Canis lupus familiaris: one gene and its partner. The protein of the gene in region 2 interacts with the protein of the main gene of each other region in a pairwise test. Links are inferred from orthologs where the notes say so. Each region holds a gene or a part of one and is shown on either strand. Other genes may lie near its edges.

Region 1 (2,612 bases), on a different chromosome or scaffold from region 2:
CAAGGACATACTCCACAAAACGTTATCACAGCACTAATATTATCTGTCTTACATCCTTTTTTGGAATGAGGCAGGGTATCAGTGAATGAAATCAACCTGAGCACCGTTCCACTCTGTATACCTCTTCATGGGTTCCCCATCGCCCCTCAATCTTCACGTAAAGCTCATGCCATCAAGTTCACGTCAACTGCTCTGCCATCCTCTCCATCCACCCGCACTGCCATCACCTTCTGACTTCTACACGTTCCCTTCTCATGAATAAGGTTCCTGGCACCTCAGTCACGAGCTTCAGGACCTTCCCAGTTACCACCATGGTTCTGGGAACTCAACATGCCTGGGAAGCCCCCCACCCGCTGCCAATCTCTCAGCCCACAGGCCTTGACTTGCTCAGAGCCCATGAGGAAGTCTCTCCTCTGCAGCCAGCTACTCCCCCCCAGGGCCCAGAGAAACCCCTCCCTGAAACACTGGACTGTAGCCTCCCACACTGATCACCCCTTCCTCCCTCCACTCCCCACAGGAGATCTCCTCCTGGGTGTCTCACAGACCCCGCCGACTCGGAAGGACAGAAACAGAGACAAGTCAGAGGCATAGCCCTGAGCTTCAACACTTTAATAGCATTAACTGATGACAGAAGCCAGACTTCTCAGTTATAAGAAGTCTTGGCTTAGACTAAGGCTGTGAGGACTCCCACAAGTCTAGGACCCAGGCTTTAGCCATTTCTCCTGGATCTAGGCATCTCATCAAACAGAGTGAAGGCTGTATCCTTCAGGCATTGTTGGGGCTCTCTGTTGCTGCCCACTGCTCTCTCCACATCTTGTGGGGCAGTCTGCATGTTGTTGTTATTGGCCTCAGTGCCTACACGCTCCAGGATGTAGTCGGTGAGGGAGTCGAGCATGGCAAGGAGGAATTCAGTAGATGTTGAACTTAGGCAGTGGGTGCGCTGATCTTCCTGCAGGAGGCGGTCCACATAGCTCACAGGGAACTGCAGCTCAGTTGTTACAAGATGGGCTTGAGTCTGATTGGAGCTCTCATGGTTTTTGTTCCCTGACATGATGTTGGCAGGGTTTGGCTCCATCAGCTCTGCTTGATTCCCCAGCTGCACTGTGCCTCTCAAGACAACAGGGGTCAACCCCGCCCATTTATATTCCTAAGCCCTGGCCCCTCATTGTGACATCATAGACTTTGGGATGTCACTGGTGTCCACTGTGTCCTTATCAGGCCTCAGCCCAGAAATGTCCATGACAGGAACCTGGTCACCCTAATGAACAGACCCTGATTTTGAGAGAACTAGAATTTTCTGCTTGATTTTAACATTGTAGAGATCAATGTGTATTCCAATGGGAAACTTCCCCGTCTTAGGACATCACTCTACATTATCTGATTCTGGCCTTATATGGTCTTTGAGGCCTTTTACAATCCTTCATTAGTTGTAGGTTAGTGATAAATATGTAAAATGTATTGTCTAGTAGAGATTATATTGTCCCCCTTCCATGATATAATGAAACCAGTTTTGCCTCCATTCACACATGCATTTAAATATTTTTGATTAACATTCCTGTATCTAATCCTTGGATTCTCTATGAACCAGTTATATCCTCTTCCCATTCCCTCACTGATTAAATAGAATCTTTTAATACACGTTTATTTCATACCTGTATTAGCCTCTTCATTTTACACTGTTTGAAAAATATCTCTTGATCATTGTGGAAGTCATAATGAGATGCTCAATGGATGCATCTTTCAGAATCACGTAAACATTGTTTAGAGAGAGAAGTGTACTTTGCACTTAGTTTAAGTCCAGTTGTGTCTTCTTGGCTGTCCTAGATGAAGCCAAAGCACCAAGAGGTGTTTCCTCTCATTTTATTCTCATTTTTTAAGAAAAGTTTTTATTTATTTATTTGAGAAAGACAAAGAAACCGAGAGAGAGAAAGAGAGCATGAGCAGGGAGAAACCAGAGGGAGAAGGAGAAGCAGACTCCCTGCTGAGCATGGAGCCTCATGCCAGGGTCAATCCTAGGACCCTGAAATCACAACCTAAGCCAAAATCAGATGCTTAACCGAGTAAGCCACCCAGGCGCCCCATTATTTTTTTCTCATTTTAATTTCCCTTTCCACGAAGTTGGTGTTTCTGCTTTGTTTGGGGTTTATTTACAGCGGTAACAATTAAAGACATTTCCAATCCAAAAGAGAGAAGTAGCAGGAAGAAAAGAGTCTGATCCAAGCAATGTGGATCAAGCAGACAAACCTACATACATTTCAAGGTCTGGGAATAATATTTTGTAGCTTGTGGCTCCTTCTGATCCCATGACTTCATCTTGGCCCACAGCTCTGCCCTCTAGGCCCTCGGCTCTGTCCTCAAAATCACCTTCCTTTTATTTTGAATGGAACACATGTTTTCAGCTGAGTAGTTTTATCAGCCTGTTTTCCTCTTGTCAAATTTTGGGAGCTCCATGACCTTCTTTCATTTCATCTATTTTCTCAGTTAAAGATAGCATAGTTTTTGCTGATTTAGCATACTCAAAAATCTTGTAATTCCCCACCCCATACTACATGGGGATTTGTGCCCTTAGACAAGAAACTTGTTCACAGATCCTTCCAGGAAAATGCCATCTC
Region 2 (4,359 bases):
AGTATCTTGCTGTTCCAAGACTGTTCTCCTTTAGGGATATGGTAAAGAACAGGTTATTGAATATAATTTATAAACATGCATGGATTTTAGTATTTTTCAGTTAATCAATTACTTCTAAATATTTACATTTTTTAGGCAGAAGGAATTTCAGGTACTGCCAAATGGAAGATAACTAGAAAAAGAGGGAGTGATTCTGAAATCACATTATACAAAATACTGGCCAAGAAAATAGACCTTATTTAACACCTTTTAGGATGACTAGGTGATAGATGGACATAGGGAAACAGTAAGAGAGGGCTTCCCAAGACCAGCCTTACTTCCCTGGGAGATGAAATGGGAACTAATCTGGTTGTAACTGCAAAAAAATATATATTCTTAGGTACTGCCACTAGCCAATATAGTATTGTATTACGTTCCAGACCTACCTATCTTAATATGATTCTTCTAGGGGTACCTTTTCCATCTAAGGCATTCTATAACTTTTATATAAATTGTGTATCTCTCCATAGATTTCCTTTAATTCTTTCAAATGTATATTCCATGCTTCTAATACATGTAATTTTGTTTAATACTTTGTGGTATCTTTCCTTCCTCTGAAGTCCTGGAACATATGTCAATGTCTCAGATTTCTACCTCTGATAATGGAATTTCTGACAACAAAGTATGTCCTTGGAACACATCCTCTTCCATATCAGCAGAACAAATATTTTGAAGAAGGGTAAGATACAAGTACAGGTTGAATCTGCAGGTGAAGGAGATAAGTAATAAAACAGGATAAAAAAAAAGGGATAAAAGTGAGTATCATACAAAAAAATGACAGCTACTGTTCTACATTTTCATGAAAGACTTTGCTAAATATATTACAAAACTGAAAAATACTAAAATTAAAGTATTCTATGACTTGTAGAAGCCAATCTACAAGTTATGTGCATTTTATTAGCACAGTACCTGCAGAAATGAAAAATAACTTGTAATTTTTTTAAGCTTGATTAATGTTTTCACTTTATAACCCTTATCAAAAGAAATGAAGAGGAGAACTATTTGTAACATAGATTCCAACCATTACGGTGTACTCAATATTGCTTCCTAGCATCCTCCGGAGAGGTATCTCCACAAGTCAGATCTGCCTAACTACTTTTATTGGGGGAGACGCGGGGATCCCTGGCTGGTTCAGTGGTTTAGTGCCTGCCTTTGGCTCAGGGCCTGATCCTGGAGACCTGGGATCGAGTCCTGCCTCGGGCTCCCTGCATGGAGCCTGCTTCTCCCTCCTCCTGTGTCTCTGCCTGCCTATCATAAATAAATAAATAAATAAATAGATAGATAGATAGATAGATAGATAGATAGATAGATAAACCAACCAACCTTTTAAAATATATATATACTATTGGGGGAGACGCCGTGAAAACGGAATACAATAGCAGTTTATGATTTTTAATCTAGCTCAGTCTCCTTGCAGTCAGAGTTCCTAAATGATGCCTCCCCATGGAAAGCCATTGAACTCAGAGTGATTTTTGTTCAGAATGAAGCAGGTACACGGACTTTAATGCTTACGGTCCATGGCTAAGAGTTTGTGACATATCTTACAATACTAGATTTTATTAAAAACACACACACACACACACAAACAAAAACTCGTTATCAAAAATAGGAGGTAAAATTAAGCTTACGAAATTTTCGCAAAAGATATTCGGGGAAACACTGGTCTAAGAGATACGCAGAAAAGGTCTGGAAAAGGAAAAACACCGAGAATATTGGGAGAAAAACAAAGAGGGTGCGGGTCGAGCAAGGAGCTCAGTAGGCTTGCCATGTTCACAAAGTGCTCACGAATATAAAATATTTGTGGGTCGCTTTAGGGCAACAGTCTTGGGTACCCATAATTTCGGAATCAAAATGCCCAAGGCTGATTTTTTTTTTTTCCCCTTAGAGAGGTAAAAAGAATAAAAATAAAAATAAATAATAAAAATCAAAAAACCCTAAATTGTCCAGAAGATGGAGAAATACAGAAAACCCAGGGAAACGCAAGCAAGGGAAACGCTCAGCTTTTCACCTCTTCCTTCCAGTCCGCATTTCGGAGGAGGCTGATCTTTCCTGAGCTCAGAGCTGCCAAGTGAAGGAATCAGCCTGTAACTCGCCCACCCTAACCCTAAACTGAGCTGGCTGCCACGATCTGCCCTACTTGGCTCTTTATCCTAAGGAAGGCCACACCGGTGGAGTCTACAGGCGGGGCACTTCTACGACTCCCCTCCCTCCGTTCGACTTAAAAGGATGAAAAGGCACACCTGGTCATTCGCTCCCGCCCGCCGTTTCGGAAAGGGCAGCAGAGAGAGGCTTCCCCTGCATAACCCGGGGCGCGCCGTCGCCAGCCTCCCCAGCAGCCGCCGAGCACGGAGGAGGGCCCCGCAGGCCTCCCGCCCCGCTCAGCAGGGACAGGGGGAGACAGCATAGGCGACCGGAGCGAGCCACCGGAGCCCAGCCGACAGCAGCGAGGAGCGGCGGCGGCCCGAGGCTCGCGTCGACCGTTTGTATTTCAACAGTGGCTGGAAGCCCGCCGCGCGCCGCGGCAACACCTTCAAAGCTGCCGGCTCCTCGGTGCTTCACGATTCCTCGCTGCAGATTCCACACCACGTTTGTCCAGACCCCCGAGGACGCTGGCTCTGCCGAGGCGCTTTTCAATGGCCAGCCCGATCCCAAGTTGCAGATTAAAAGTTTGCCTAATGTTAGTGCTTAGAGTAGCTCGGGGGACGAAGTGAGAAACGGGGGATCTATAGCGAATCGTAAATACCCGGAACAAAAACGCGGCTTCTCTAAGGCTCAGAACCCTAACGTCACTTCCGGCAACAATAGGAAACGTCAAAAAGTCGGACGGTCGGCAGCTCTGCCTGCTGCAGCTTGAGGTGCGCGGAGTTCAGGGGGATCCTGCGCTGCTTTTGGCATTCTCGCCGCTGTTAGCTCCACCGGCGGGAACGAGTAAAGTCTGAACCGGCTTCTCCATGGCCTGGGCATCAGTTCCTGGCTGAGCCATTTTCTTTTTTGACTAAAAGCCCCCGCCCAGAGGCCGATTCGTCGCGGCGGCGGTGGGGATCGCAGGTCGCTCAGGTACAAAATATTTCAGAGCTCTTGCCTCTCTCTTCTGCATACTTTTACTTTTCTTCTCGGGAATAAAGACAACCGGTGCTTGCCAGTTGGCAGAAACTTGCCAACCAGCAAGACTTTGGGACCAATGGCAGCGCAGAGCATCTTGAGTGACAGCCGCGGCGGCTTGTTAAAATGTGGAGTCTGTACCAGGAGGCGGGAGTGGGTGTGTCCTTATGTTTCTAGGCCACTGGAGTATAGGTTAACTTGGGACCCCAGGGAGTGTCCCAGCCTCGCTATGAAATAAAGCTGAGACATGGCAAAGGTTACTCTTTTCAAGCCCAAGTGCTGCTTTTCAAATAGAGTATTTTCTTGATGCATATGCAGTTTTCGGTTCTTTGCTTACTTTTCAGTGATACGAATGCAAACACTTCTACTTAAGATCATGATGGCTTTGCCCGGTGCTTCAAATGTCACAGATTTGGCAGGTTCTTAATTTGTCTGTTTGTTTTTCTTTGTGACTGGTCTCTACTCTCTTCCATGGCGGGTGTTCCGATTAAATATTATTACACGAAACTGCATAAGTTAGTCCCAATCCTCATTGAAGTTTTTTTTTGTTTTTATTTTTAGGTTATGTAAGCAGTTAGTCATTAAACAACGGAGTCTATTTAACAAGTTGAATTTTTATTTTTCAAGGATCCTAGATGTTTCCCTCCAAATCAATGTATCATGATTTTTATTACTACAAAGTGAAACTGATTTATGTTTTTCATTTCAGCTTTACTCCTCCCTTTTTAATATTTGCAGTATGGTAACCATATTTTTGAAACCATATTTTTAAGAAAATGGTGTACAAAATTGAGCCAATTGATCTGAGAATGAAGAAATAATGTTATTGTTTTTCAAGTTGAATAGGAAACTTCCATTTTTTTGCCAATTATTTTGATAATTTGTCTGATGAGATACTGTATTAGATATCTATTGCTGGGTAACAAATTACTCCAGAATTTAGCAGCTTAAAAAAATAAACATGGCTTATTATCTCACAGTTTCTGTGGGTTAGAAATTTAGTTACAGCTTAGTAGAGAGCCTCTGACTCAAGGTCTTTGAGTTTGTAGTCAACCTACAGTTGGACTATGATCTCATCTGAAGGCTTCACTGAGGGGTAGGAGGATCTGCTTCCAAGTGATTGATAGGCCTAGGTTCTCCACCACATGGGCTTTTACCACAATATGGTAGCTGCTTTCCCACTGGATGAGCAATTGAATAGAGAGTACCCAAGACTGT

The links. The genes of interacting proteins can lie anywhere in the genome.
Region 1: the proteins of CEP44 (region 2) and H2AP interact in binary tests that used the Homo sapiens proteins (3 or more experiments, as listed by UniProt). The two-hybrid records come from large-scale screens. The link is inferred for Canis lupus familiaris from reciprocal best matches to the Homo sapiens genes CEP44 and H2AP.

Annotation. Positions count from the first base shown.
Region 1 is NC_049260.1:32,883,248-32,885,859, reverse strand, and holds H2AP (huntingtin-interacting protein M), read right to left. Parts: upstream 1,130-2,612; 5' UTR 1,076-1,129; coding exon 710-1,075; 3' UTR 580-709; downstream 1-579.
Region 2 is NC_049246.1:24,948,085-24,952,443, reverse strand, and holds the start of CEP44 (centrosomal protein of 44 kDa), read right to left. Parts: upstream 2,808-4,359; 5' UTR 2,280-2,807; intron 743-2,279; exon of another isoform or gene 426-742; intron 1-425. UniProt on the Homo sapiens protein: Centriole-enriched microtubule-binding protein involved in centriole biogenesis. In collaboration with CEP295 and POC1B, is required for the centriole-to-centrosome conversion by ensuring the formation of bona fide centriole wall.